Linked DNA regions of Sus scrofa. The protein of the gene in region 2 interacts with the protein of the main gene of each other region in a pairwise test. Links are inferred from orthologs where the notes say so. Each region holds a gene or a part of one and is shown on either strand. Other genes may lie near its edges.

Evidence for each region. The genes of interacting proteins can lie anywhere in the genome.
Region 1: the proteins of CEP19 (region 2) and FGFR1OP interact in binary tests that used the Homo sapiens proteins (3 or more experiments, as listed by UniProt). The two-hybrid records come from large-scale screens. The link is inferred for Sus scrofa from reciprocal best matches to the Homo sapiens genes CEP19 and CEP43.

Annotation. Positions count from the first base shown.
Region 1 is NC_010443.5:2,116,815-2,124,148, reverse strand, and holds the start of FGFR1OP (FGFR1 oncogene partner), read left to right. Parts: upstream 1-3,316; 5' UTR 3,317-3,389; coding exon 3,390-3,491; intron 3,492-4,144; coding exon 4,145-4,198; intron 4,199-6,561; coding exon 6,562-6,616; intron 6,617-7,092; coding exon 7,093-7,181; intron 7,182-7,334. UniProt on the Homo sapiens protein: Required for anchoring microtubules to the centrosomes. Required for ciliation.
Region 2 is NC_010455.5:133,416,762-133,424,024, forward strand, and holds the start of CEP19 (centrosomal protein of 19 kDa), read left to right. Parts: upstream 1-3,428; 5' UTR 3,429-3,941; coding exon 3,942-3,949; intron 3,950-7,263. UniProt on the Homo sapiens protein: Required for ciliation. Recruits the RABL2B GTPase to the ciliary base to initiate ciliation.

The DNA.
Region 1 (7,334 bases), on a different chromosome or scaffold from region 2:
CTCACGTTTACTAATGTATGAAGAGCGACACCTTCAGCCTTAAGGTGCTCGAGGAAGTGAATGCTTTTGGACAGAGCTTCCACTTTATTGATTTTATGATAGGAAAAACACATATTTCAGGGCAAACTACTCGCTGAGAGGAAGGAGGTACATTAACTTTCCTGACAGAGCAGTAATTGAAAGCATACCTTAGTTTTTTCTTTTTCCTTTGTCTTTTGCCCCGTCTAGGGCTGCACCCACGGCACATGGAGGTTCCCAGGCTAGGGGTCTGATCGGAGCTGCTGCCACCGGCCTACGCCACAGCCACAGCAATGCCAGATCCGAGCCTTGCCTTCGACCAACACCACAGCTCATGGCAACGCCAGATCCTCAACCCACTGAGCAAGGCCAGGGATCGAACCCCAACCTCAGGGTTAACTAGTCGCATTTGTTTCTGCTGCACCACGACGGGAACTCCTGAAAGGGTACCTTAGTGACTTAGAAATGAGGCGGAGAGCCGTAGTTGAGCTGAAAGCGGAGCTCTAGGTGCAGATCTAGAAAAGCCTACGGATTTCTGCTCTGTGACTGACTGCCCCCGAGTTCCCTCGGCCCCCAGCCCTCAGATCAGATCCCCGCGTGTTATTTTAAATCACAAGACTCTGTGCAAGAGGTAAATCCTCACAGCTGAGGAGACGGGGCTCGGCAAAGTCAGTGGCCTGAGAATGAACAAATACTGTAAATTCTCAGTCTCAGGAAACCCACCCAAGGCGAATGTGCTGGTAAATGTTTCACGACTGGCTCTCTGTTTTTCTGTTTTTTGTTTTTTTAAAGCCCTAATTTATAGTAATTGGCCATCTCCTAGCATTTCCTCCTGCAGTCGACTTCAAGCTACCAATGGGATAGCATGGAATGTGATAGCTGGTGGTCATATGCTCCCTGCAGCATTTTATATCATTAAAAGAAAGGGGGAGAGTTCCCGCTGTGGCACAGCAGGTTAAGGATCTGGCATTGTCTCTTCAGCAGCTCGGTCACTGCTGAGGATGTGGGTTTGATCCCTGGCCCAGCGCAGTGGGTTAAGGAGCTGGCATTGCTGCTGCTGTGGTGTAAGTCACAGCGGCTGCTTGGATTCGGTCTCTGGCGCGGAAACTTCCATATGCCCTGGGTGCGGCCATAAAACACCACCACCAACACCCACAAAAAACAAAAGAACTCCACAGTCTTCACAATTACCTCGGCCCCATCTCCCGCAGTGCTAGAGAGACGGCACAAGCCCGTGACAACCCCTCCCCCCACGCGTGCCCCTCCCGCTTGGCTACAATCACAAAGCCGTGGCGCCATTCCATTCCGGGTTACTGCCCCCTGCCCACTGCCTAGGGTGGGTCCCTGCTGCCACCTGGCTGGTGAGTGACCCGGTTCCAGAACCCCACGCCTGGGTCGGCTTCATAGATCCAATCTGGGGCGACTGCCTTAGTCTGCGTGTCGCAGACGCACAGCCCAAGGTAAGGGCTGGAATGCAGCTTACTGGGGAGAGGATTCTGGAAAATGCCAGCCGAGGAAGGTGACCACGCCAGGAGGGGAACTAATGAAGACTGGGTTCCCAAGCAGGTTCCTCTTTAACTGGCGCTCAAACCGGAAGCACTAAAAGCTAGTGGAGAACACACCTTGGACGCACGTCCTGTCCCAGGGGTTCCCACGCATTGTTGCAGGTGCTCTGGGGAGATACACATTCCGGGGCTCTTCAGGTCCGCCCCAAACGCGGGCAGAGCGGCCTCTGGTGGTTGGAAAACGCCATGGCAGGCAAATCATCTCGGGCGCCGACAGCTGCAGGCTGGCCCAGCTGCAGCAAAGGTTCTGTTTGAAGGGCATAGGGGCTCTGCCGACAGAACTGTTACAGAGGGTCTCCTAATATTGTGAATGCTGCTGATTGCTTTTCAATCCGCTACAACGTTTGCAAGGTGCAATTACCCTTGCAGAGGAGATTTTCATAGTATAAAGATAAAACTCTAACAACATGGGGGAGTGAGAGAATATAAGTACGCCAATTTCCTCATCGCTCATTGCGGGGAGCCAGCAGGTAAGAGGTACTTTTATAAATAATGATTCAGATAAAGTCACAAAATTTTCCCCCGTTGGAACTAAAAGTAATGTAATTTTTAAACTTAGGAGTTGAAAGAGAAAATATATTCTTACCCTTTGAAAAGATACTGTTCGTGGTTGACGGGTCAGGACGTACATCATTTACAGCTATAATGAAAAGAACCAGAAGACCTAGAAAGAAATTGTAGTTGGGTCTACAATACGCAGGTGATAGGTGAGTAGGTAGGGTGGACACAGAGACTTTTAATGTTTCTCCCTTCTGTTTGGATTTTTAACCATTGGTATGAGTTACTTCCACAACAAACAAAACAAAGGCAAATGAGACATGGTCTAATTACAAAAAAAACAACAACAAAAAAACAACTTTCAAACACCCTTTAATGGAATATTACCCAGAAGTTAAAAAGAATGAGGCTCAATCTATAAATATATACATCAAAAGACGTTATAGAAACTCAGTAAGCATAGGCTCCAAATTAGGAGAGTGGAAAAAGTACTTGCGTGTATGTAACGTATCTATGTATAAGGTTGTCTGGAAAGACCTATACCAATTTGAACAGATGCTGCCTGTGGAGGAGGAGATGGGCTGGTCAGGACACCTCGACTTTTACTTTCTTACTTGACAAATAGCATTTGTATCTCACGAGAATCTGCAGACCACCCGTATTCCCTGAGAAAATGATTCCTTAAGACCCGCTACAGACCCACGGAGTGAGAGTCCCGGGGAATTCTAGAATCTGTATTTTCTCCTTTAAGGTAGTTGTGAAACCCCTCACCTTCCCCGTTATTGCAAAACTGTGCGAGCACACAGAGTGTGAAGAACAGCACAACGGCATACTGCATATACCCTTCACTGCGCCGCACCGTGTGAATGTGCCCTCTCGATGAGCGTGCACACCTGCACACACACGCACGTAAGCACATGCCTCTCAGTAAGCGTGCACACCTGTACTCACACATTTCGGCCGCACCTTGGAAAGCAGTAGCAGACTCAGGACCTTGCCCCGGATTCCAGCACGCGCGTCCACAGCAGCAGCCTGCAGGCACACCTGAAACACTTCAAACACCTCTCTTTACCCAACCTCCGCGGCCCGGCCCGGCGCGGATCCCCAGAACCGCGGGTTCACCGCCCACGCCTCTGAAGATCCCGCCCCCGAGGCCCCGCCCACCTGGCGGCGTCCCGAGGCCCCGCCCCGACGGGGGCGGGCCGCGCGCCAGCGTCGGGGGCGTGGTCTCGGCTGCGTGCCTACGCGCCGTGCGGGCTGCGGCGTCGGCCGTTGGCGCGGCTTGGGCGGTTGTCTTGGAGAAGCAAGATGGCGGCGACGGCGGCCGCGGTGGTGGCGGAGGAGGACACCGAGCTGCGGGACCTGCTGGTGCAGACGCTGGAGAACAGCGGGGTCCTGAACCGCATCAAGGTAGGGCGGGAGACCGGGGCCCGGAGGAGGGGAGGCCGGCCGCGCTTGCGGGCCGCGGGGCCTTTGTGGACGGCGAGCATCACAAAGGGGCGCGGGGCGCGTCGGCAGTACCGCCGGGGCTGAGGTCCGAGCCCGCGGGCTCCCTCGGAGCGGTCCACGCGGGGTCAAGGGTCACTCCCGGGGAGCCTCACGGCCCGGCCAGCCTTAGTCGGAGGAGGCCGACCCCGGCGTCCAGTCCCCGGCTGCCCCCACCCCGTCCCCACACGGCGTCCGGGGGTCCAGTCCCCGGCTGCCCCCCGCCCCCGGCGTCCGGGGGTCCAACGCCGCATGCTCCCTGGCTCTTCCCCGCCTTTGGTCTCAGCTGTCGGGCGGCGAGCGTCTCCACCTGTAAATGGACTTACAGAGCGTAAACCAGAGAGGTGGGTGCTGAGAGACACCCCAGGGCAGGATGGGGGACTTGGGAACCACAGGTCCCTTTCTTCACGGCGTCTCAGGACGCTTTCCGACGTGTCTGTGCACCTGCCGACTAAGCACTATCAACCTGCCCCTTTTCGTTTTGAGTTTTGAAATTGCCGCGTGTGCGCTTCTTGTTATGAAAATTGCCTTGATAATTTTTGTTCCTTTCCTCACCGCACCTCCCTCCCTTTTCAAAGGCCGAACTCCGAGCTGCTGTGTTTTTAGCACTAGAGGAGCAGGAAAAAGTAGAGGTATGAAATCGACAAATCGTAATGACTGTGTTCCTTTATGGTTAATTTCTTTTTCTTTTTTTTTTTTTTTTTTGTCTTTTTTGTTGTTGTTGTTGTTGTTGTTGTTGTTGCTATTTCTTGGGCCGCTCCCTCGGCATATGGAGGTTCCCAGGCCAGGGGTTGAATCGGAGCTGTAGCCACCGGCCTACGCCAGAGCCACAGCAACGCGGGATCCGAGCCACGTCTGCAACCTACACCACAGCTCAGGGCAACGCCGGATCGTTAACCCACTGAGCAAGGGCAGGGACCTAACCCTCAACCTCGTGGTTCCTCGTCGGATTCGTTAACCACTGCGCCACGACGGGAACTCCTATGGTTAATTTCTAATTGCCCAAAAACCATTCTAAATGTTGTGTATAGTGGGGCATAGCCAAGGATGATTTTGAACTTTAGTGTTGGGAGAGAGTCAAGATTATTCTCTCTTCGTGTATATTTTAGAGTTTGGGGGTAAAGAAAGTTAAGGCCGGTGCTAAATTTCATAGGTCCCTCTCCGCTGGGGACATCTGAAACACAGGTTAAAGCAGGAAGAAAAGGTTTCATTGTCAACAAGTTTACCGCAGGATCGGTCAGAACCTTTAACCTGCCCATATGCCTGCGAATCCCCACCAGGTGGAGGGGGTAGGAGGCAGCTTTCCCCCAGGTTATCTGGCCCCTGAGTTATTTTATTTTACTTATTTATTTATTTTTGTCTTTTTGCCTTTTCTAGGGCTGCTCCCGCTGCATATGGAGGTTCCCAGGCTAGGGGTCTAATCGGAGCTGTAGCTGCCGGCCTACGCCAGAGCCACAGCAACGCAGGATCCTTAACCCACTGAGGGAGGCCAGGGATTGAACCCGAAACCACATGGTTCCTAGTCAGATTCGTTAACCACTGTGCCACGACGGGAACTCCCTGAGTTATTTTAAAATCATGTCATTTTGGAAGTTCTCTTGTGGTGAAGTGGGCTCAGGATCCAGCATTGTCACCGCAGTGGCTCAGGTCACTGCCTTGGCGTGGGTTTTATCCTTGGCCTGGGAACTTCCACATGCCTCAGGCACTGCCTCCTCCCCTCAAAATCTTGTAGTCTTTTCTTGGGTCACAGGTCCAGTCACTTCTCTGTTTACAGGTGTATTTAGTGTTTCTCTCTGTGGCAGGTCTACCACTGTCTGAGTAAAACCCCCGGCCTGTTGGCAACTGCGTGGTCAAGGCCTCGCTTTCCCCTGACAGCTCAGTGTCTTCTCCTCACTTTGGACTCCGGTTCCCCTTTACCTTCCTGAAGGCCTTCAGTTCTTGCCTCTTCTGTCTTTGTCCTCGCTGAGCTGCCCTTGTTCTTAGCTGATCTGGACCCCGTGGTCCGGGTCTCAGGGGCCCTCACTGCCTTGCCCTTCGCCATGCTTGGTCTGAGGACAGTCTCAGGGGTCCCTGCGCTCAGCAGATGAGCTCCCTCCCCGTCTGGAGCGGCTGAGGCCCCCCCGGGGGGGGGTGCTTCCCACCCCGGGAGGCCCTGGGCCTTCCCACCGGCCTCCCGCCTCAGCCGCTTCCTGCCCTCTGACGGACGCACCTGTGACGGACGCACCTGTCTGTCCCTCCCGAGGAAGATGGAAGCAGCAGGTGTGAACCCTTCCCGCAGGCTGTCCCTCCCCTCGGAGGAAGCGCCCCTGCACCCGGCTCCTCTCCTCCTCCTCCCTTCCTGCGCAGGAGGCCTCCCTCTCTCTGGGCTTGGCCTCCGGAGTGCTCCTGTCATGCCTCTGCCACCGCCTGTGACCCGGGCCTCCCCTTTTTGCCGGCTCTGCTCTTGGGCCTGGAAACAAGTTAACTGCTCGCTCCAGGAGGAAGCTGGTTCCGACTCCAGTTCGGCTTTTGGTGCCTTTCTCGCTTTTTCCCTCATGGGCTCCTCTGGAGAGAGTGTCTGCCTTGTGTTCCAGGCACCAGGCGCCCTCTAATTCATTGACATCTTTTTTTTTTTTTTTTCTTTTTAGGGCCACACCTGCAGCATGTGGAAGTTCCCAGGCTAGGGGTCAAGTTGGCACCGCAGCTGCCAGCTGCGCCTCGGGGATGCTCCTCGGCTTGTTTCCGCTGTGCCACTGACTCTGTGACTCCTATGCCTCAGTGGTGTCTTTTGCTGCTGCCGGGAAGACGCGCCTGATGGAGTGTATCTTCATCCTGTCCTGCCTCAGGCCTCAGCACAAAATAGTTCCTGTCGTAATCAGTAGTTGCAGGGTGGGTTTAACCATAGGGGTAGTGTTTTACCTAATATCTTCACCAGAAAATTAAACTTTAATGTACATTTTATAGTGGTTTTTAGGATAAACATATAACGCTTACAGCGTTTCATTTTTTTTAACAGAACAAAACTCCTTTAGTCAATGAGAGCCTGAAAAAGTTTTTAAATACAAAAGACGGTAAGATGTTTGTTGTTATTTTTGTCTGTCTCTGAATTTTCAAATCTTGCCTCCATTTGGGAGAAATCAGGCATTCCAGATTGCCTTTCGAAGTCTGCGATGCTTTCAGGTTCTTATATTAAGTCGTATTTTATTGTACAACTGTTGAGTCGCCATTGCGTATCAGTGTTACTGGAAATTGTTGGTTAAAGCCAATTTTACTGTGAAACTGATGTTATTATAAAGAGCGAAACCCTAGTTCATTTAGGAAATGTCAGATTGTCGTACTAACACTTCCAGACTGATGATCCTAATGAGAGAATCAGGAGACTGAAATTTTCATTACTTAATTGTATTATTCAAAGAGAAGAAATGTGTGATTTTAAGCGTTGAGAAGCTTCTCTTCTCCTTTTGCTTTGGTTATTTTCCGTCCCACTGTCAGCGAGGAGGCCTCGGGGCCTCAAGACCCCCTCCCACCTCCCTTCTCCTCTTTGCAGGCCGGCTGGTGGCTAGTCTCGTGGCGGAATTTCTTCAGTTTTTTAACCTTGACTTTACCTTGGCTGTTTTTCAACCTGAAACCAGCACGGTAAGAATGATGCCTTTTCCATCTCTCTTTGAAACCGTCTTTGATGCAGATGAGTCCATTGTAAGCGGAACAGTGACAAAATTTGATAACTTAGAGTGTCTTTCATAAAGATTATTTTTACAGTCGATTATCTGTTTCTCAAAACCTGCCTGT
Region 2 (7,263 bases):
CCATGAACTGTGGTGTAGGTTGCAGATGTGGCTCGGATCTTGTGTTGCTGAGGTTGTGGTGTAAGCCAGCAGCTGCAGCTCCAATTCGACCCCTAGCCTGGGAACTTCCATACCCTGAAGATGTGGCCCTAAAAAGAAAAGAAAACAAAAAACTACAAAAAACTGTTACTCAGTGTCAGCCTCATAAAATTAAAAATTCAGCTAATCATCACAAACTCTGTCCAGGCATCTTGCTATGGAATTTTACTCCACTTTCAAAAGCTGCAAGTGTGTGAGAAGAAAATTAAAACAAACACACAGAAAGCCGTATACTATTTATGTAGCCAAGTCCATTAGATATTATTCCTGAGATTTTTTTTTTAAATGACACGGAGATGGAAACATTTGAAATATACAAGGGAAGGAAGGGGGAAGGTATGAAAAATAAAATTTACTAAATAATATCTATATGACAGATCCTCTACTTGGGGCTTTCATATGTATTTTAACTTTCACAACCTAGCAAAATAGGCAAACAAATTATTGCCATTTGTACATAGGAGGAAACTCTGACTTATAAACAGTTACTGACTGTCTAGATCATAAAACTAGGTAAAGTGACTGATTAGAAACAAGATTTGCCTGACTTTTAAAGCCTAAGATATTTCCACTCTCCTAGCTATTTAAAGAAATCCTTAATTGCTTTGGAGAATCATACACCATCTTTTCCCAAATAACTTTATATAAGAATATCTCTTGCATAAATCCATGTTTCTTCAATGTTTGTTTGTTTATTATTTATTTATTTATTGCAACGTAATGGAAGTTTCCAGTGGTCAAATCAGAGCTGCAGCTGAGGCCACAGCCATGACAACACTGGATCTGAGCTGCATCTGTGAACTACATTGCAGCTTGCAGCAATGCCAGATCCTTAACCTACTGAGTAAAGCCAGGGATTGAACCAGCATCCTCACAGAAACATCAGGTCCTTAATCCACTAAGCCACAATGGGAACTCCTCAATGTTTAATTTTAATGGAAGTGGTAAGGGCTCACATCTCCCTATAAATTATACTGGAAATAAAGGTCAGATTAACAGGATTAAATTCTATTGGAATATACACTAGAGAATAGTAAATCTCATTCATCTTGTCGTGGTAGAAAAGCTAACTTACAAACAGTAGAGCAAACACTAGATTATTTATGATTTTTAAGGCAAAAGTACCATTTTCAAAATCAATTTGTTGCATCCGAATTCACCTTCAAGATTTTTTCCTCTTAAATATTACTTTACTTGGGGAGAGGAAGTGGGATGGACTGGGAGTTTAGGGTTAATAGATGCAAATTACTACATTTGGAATGAATAGACAATAAGGTCCTCCTGTATAGCACAGGGAACTATATGCAATCTCCTGGGACAGACCATGATGTAAAATTACATATATATACATATATGAAATATATATATATATAAAAATTTTTTTGGTCTTTTTGCCATTTCTAGGGCCATACCTGCGGTATATGGAGGTTCCCAGGCTAGGGGTCTAATCAGAGCTGTAGCCGCCGGCCTACACCACAACTCACAGAAACACCAGATCCTTAACCCACTGAGCAAAGCCAAGGATCGCAATCTCATGGTTCCTAGTCGGATTCATTAACCACTGAGAGATACTGGCACATTATAAATCAATGATACTTTGATTTAAAAAAATTTAAATATATTACTTGGTTATTGTGGCCTAAACTGGCTCTGAAAATTGACTCATTTTTATTTATTTTTTAGGGCCACACCCCACACCCGTGGCATATGGAGGTTCTCAGGCTAGGGGTGGAATCGGAGCTGTAGCCACCGGCTTACGCCAGAGCCACAGCAACGTGGGATCCGAGCCTCGTCTGCAACCTATACCACAGCTCACAGCAACACCGGATCCTTATCCCACTGAGCAAGACCAGGGATCAAACCGGAAACCTCACTGTTCCTAGTCGGATTCATCTGCACTGCGCCACGACCAGAACTCCCCAAAATGACCCATTTTTAATCACAAAATGCCATTGTTGGAAGAGCCTTTTAGATATCAGTAAGTCGAGTGTTTAAAAATTCTTTTGGGCCTAATAATCCTCTCTTCAAATAAATTTGGGACTTAATATGGAAACACAAAAAAGTAGAACTGGGGAGTTCCCATCGTGGCTCAGGGGTTAAGGAACCTGACTAGTACCAATGAGGATTTGGGTTTGGTCCCTGGCCGAGCTCAGTGGGTTAAGGATCCGGTGTTGCCATGAGCTGTGGTGTAGGTTCCAGACGCAGGTAGGATCCCACGTTGCTGTGGCTGCAGTGTAGGCCAGCGGCTGCAGCTCAGGTTCGACCCTAGCCTGGGAACTTCCATATGCTGCCAGTGCAGTCCTAAAAAGACAAACAAACAAACAAACAAAAGAGCAGAACTGCACTGACTGACAGGTACTAATCTAACACTTTCCTTTTACTGATGGAGAACTCACCTGGTTTTTACTGACTTTCTCTATCAAACGTCATCCCTTTATTGTAATTACTACTGCACATATCCATTTTCCCTACTACACTGCAAGCTCCGCAAGGGCTGGATACACAGCACCTAGCACAGAGCTCCTGCCCACGGACTTGGGCCCAAAGAAGGGTATCAACTCGCTTAACCCAGCCCTGAATCAGAAAGACACCCCAGCCCAATACGGTCTATCAGTAAAATGTTTTTAAAACGAAGCTAGTTGTCCTCCCCTTTCCACGCCTCGCGAACCTCTATAATTCTAGATTGGGATTCTCACACTGAGGCCCTTGCTGGTCCCCTGGTGGTCAGAAGCTTCATGCATCCCAAGAGCATTAAGACGCTTCACGACGGTACTACCTGTACAATGTTTTAGTAATAGTGAGGCCAGTCCCGTTTCAGAACGCCAAAGCCTGACTCTCTAGAGAACCAGAAGCCACGCAATCGGGGCAGCGGATAGGCAAGAGGATTTCGGCCTCTTTCGCTTTTTTTTTTTTTGGCCGCCCCGCCAGGGATCAGATCCGAGCCATAGTTGCCACCTACGCTGCAGCTGCTTGTGACCTTTGTTTTTAACTTTGTGCAGCTCAACCTACAGTTCTAGTGTCGCGAGCCAGGGGAAAGTGAAATACCTCTGCAACCGTGGAAAGGAGAGGACACCGGATCTCAGCCTGCTCCCTACCCGCTCAGCCCTAAATCCCGCCCCCCACCCCGAAGCCCCGCCCCTCCATTTACCAGCGTCGGTGGGGGCCGTGCTGAAGACTGGGTCTGCAGAGGTGAGCCCAGCCACCTCCCAGAGGAAGAGCCAGGCCACGGCCCGGCCGGCTACAGCCGCGGTAGCCAGGACGCCGGAAACGCGCACCTGGGAAGAATGCTCGGGGACCAAATGCGGTCGTGAGAACCTACACAAGCCTTGCTCCGCTCCTAGAGCGCGCTGTCACAGAGTTAGCGACCTGAACGGAAGACTCCCTCCGCGCACGCCTGCTGTCCCGCTCTTGCTCGGCTCCCGGGAGCCTAGGCCCGCGAAAGTTCCGGCCTCGCGGCAGGCAATGGCCCCGCCCCCTCGCCGTCCACGCCCTCGCCCTGCTGGTTGGGGGCGGGGCGAGGAACAGCGCAAGCGCCGTGACATGCGCCCGGGCTGTTGCTTTGGGAATCTCTTGGTGGTCTCAGCCCGACCCGGGTTCCCGCACGTTGTTCAGCTAGTCGGCTAGCCGAGCTCTCTGCGTCTTTCTCCACTTGCAAGTGTTTGCGGATGCGGTCCTCCTGCTGAGGATTTCACCCTACAGTCACGTCTTTGGAGCTATGGCTGTCGCCTTTCTGCAGCGCCAGGCTCTGCCCGGCCCTCAAAATTAAATTTAGAACTCTTCTGTGCAATGCGGTTGGGGAAAACAACCTGCTTGCGGAGGTTTTAGACGTTGGCCTGCAGAAGACGCACTTTCTCTACGTCTCTATGGGTAGGTAAGAACATCAGCCTTGCCCTAATGGGGACGTGGGTAGAAAGAGGGTCGTCTACCTGATGGCAAAACCCGTACACTTTTAAGTTAAGATTTTGCCCGTCATTGATCCCTGGAGAAAGGGATTAATGTCCAGGAAGAAGAGCTGAGTAAATATGTCCTTTGTCTTATGGATTAAATCTATAAGCAAAGTAGAGAGTATCCAATGCAGATTGGAGCAGAACAGAGAGCTCTAGGACAGATGTCTTAAAGAGGGAAAAGATGTCAGAAGATATTACCTACAACTGAAAATAGCAGTGTAAGCATGCTGTTAAGAAATATGGAGATAAATTTTGGAAGAAACGCTTAAAAGAATTGAAACTATTTTCCTATTGGAGAGGGGAAGGGCAGAGGACCACAGTTTTTTATTATACGCCTTATGGAATTATATTACGTTTAAACAGAATACTAACATTACTTAGTAAAAATAAAAGTTTAATTGTAAAAAGAAAAGAGTATAGTCAAAAAACTACATTACTGAATATCATGTGAATACATCTTTTTTTTTTTTTTTTTGTCCTTTTAGGGCTGCACCCTCGGCATATGGAGGTTCCCAGGGTAGGGGTCCAGTCGGAGCTACAGCTGCTGGCCTACTCCACAGCCACAGCAACTCAGGATCTGCGAACTTCAGCATAGCTCAGGGCAACACCATACCCTCAACCCACTGAATAAGGCCATGGATTGAACAACATCCTCATGGATACTAGTCAGATTTGTTTCTGCTGTGCTACAACAGGAACTCCCATCATTTATTAACATAGCTACTTGCTTGAGTGTGTGGAATTTATATTGTGCTCAGTAGGATCTCCCAGAAAATTTACTAACAGAACAGATTTTAGTGAGGTGAACTGGGAGTAGTATTTGTTTAAAAGAAGAAGAGGAGTTCCCATCGTGGCACAGTGGAAACGAATCCGACTAGGAACCATGAGGTTGTGGGTTTGATCCCTGGCCTCGCTCAGTGGGTTAAGGATCCAGCATTGCGGTGAACTGTGGTGTAGGTTGCAGACGTGGCTCGAATCTGGGGTTGCTGTGGCTATGGTGTAGGCTGGCAGCAACAGCTCCGATTAGACCCCCTAGCCTGGAAACCTCCATTGTGCTGTGGATGCCCTAAAAAGACAAAAGACAAAAAAAAAAAGAAGAAGAAGAAGAAAGAAGGGATGGAGTGGGATCATTGTGTCAGATCAGAGGCAGAGCTCAATAATTTGAAAAAGCAGTTTTTTATATATGATCCATTTCCTAAGAGTGAAAATTCTTTTTTTTAAATGATTTTTTATTTTTTCCATTATAGCTGGTTTATAGTGTTCTGTCAATTTTATTTCTTTCTTTTTTTTTTTTTTTCTTTTTGTCCTTTCTAGGGCCGAGACAGCATATGGAGGTTCCAAGGCTAGGGGTCTAATCCGAGCTGTAGCCGCTGGCCTATGCCACAACCACAGCAACTCTGGATCCAAGCCGTGTCTGCAACCTACACCAGAGCTCACTGCAACGCTGGATCGTTAACCCACTGAGCAAGGGCAGGGACCGAACCCAAAACCTCATGATTCTAGTCGGATTTGTTTCCGCTGTGCCATGATGGGAACTATACAACAAAGTGATGCAGTCACACCTACATATACACATTCTTTTTCTCACATTATCCTCCATCAAGCTCCATCATAAGTGACTAGATATAATTCCCAGTGCTATACAGCAGGATCTCATTGCTGATCCATTCCAAAGGCAATAGTTTGCATCTATGAATCCCAGATTCCCAGTCCATCCCACTCCTTCCCCCTCCCCTTCCCCCTCAGCAACCACAAGTCTGTTCTCCAAGTCCATGAATTTCTTTTCTGTGGAAAGGTTCATTTGTGCCATATATTAGATTCCGGATATAAGTGATATCATATGGTATTTGTCTTCCTCTTTCTGACCCTAAGAGTAAAAATTCTCATGACCAATAGTAAGGGGTGAATGATAGAGATTATGGTATATCCATAGGACAAAACATCTGCAGTCATAAAAATTTGCATTTTAGAAAGACATTTAATGACAAAATTACATAAGCTGTTAAATTTAAATGGCAGGAAATAGGTATAATATAAAAAACATATTGTAGCTAAATACACACACACGCACAACTATGCCTAGAAAAAAGACTGGAAGGAATCAGGGTGATTATTTTATATGTTCCTTCCCCTTCCCCACTCCTGCCCCAGTTTCCTACAATGAACAGGTATTAAATAACTATGTTCCTGTAGTAATTCTCTAATAGAACTGAATTTGAAGATATCATCCCTGTGCTGCTTTACCTCTAGGTTCTTTGACATTTGCAGATCTTCCTGAGACTATCATGGTCACATCTAAAGCAGTTCCTAAAATTAAGTATATATGGGCATTGAAAGCAGGGAAGGAAAGAGGGAATGGAATGTATTAACCTTTAAAATGGCTGTTTCTTATAACTAAGAAAACATCGTGTAATGAGAAAAATAAGTTGACATAAAAGCCATGTAAGCTTCATTCCCTTGTACATGTGCTAATTCTGCATCAAGTCTGCTTTTTTGATCAGGCTTCTAGACTGTTAACACTTAGAGGATGTACAGGCTGTGTCTTACATTATATATTGAATTAAAGAATGGATTGCTTACTGTAGTCCAGGCATTGTGCTGAGCATATTGTGGTGAACAATGGATATGTCCCCTAAACATATAGAGCATATAGAATAGAAGGAAAAGATAAGTGAATAAATAAGTTACCAGAGTTCCCATCATGGCTTAGTGGAAATGAATCTGACTAGCATCCATAAGGACGCGGCTTCCATCCCTGGCCTTGCTCAGTGGGTTAAGGATCGGTGTTGCCGTGAGCTATGGTGTAGGTCGCAGATGCGGCTCAGATCTGGCGTGACTGTGGCTGTGGTGTAGGCCAACAGCAACAGCTCCCATTCAACCCCTAGCCTGGGAACCTCCATATGCCGCAGGTGCAGCCCTAAGAAGACAAAAAAAAAAAAAAAGTTACCAAAACTCAATGAGTTTTAGAATGACGGGGAAAGGACAAAGGAGACAGGTCTGGTCTGGTGAACCTCTCAGGACATAATGTATAAGATTGACATAGAGGCTGCTTGTACATACATGTTTAATTGGTAAATGAAAAAGATTCTATAAACTGATTCTTGGGTTCATACATAATTATGGGTTAAAAATACACTAAAAGATCCAAACTGAACTGCCTTTCTAGGCTCATGTGTGAACAAACCTACACCCTTCAGTGAACCGGGGATTCTACAGACTAAGAATAACCCGGAGCCAA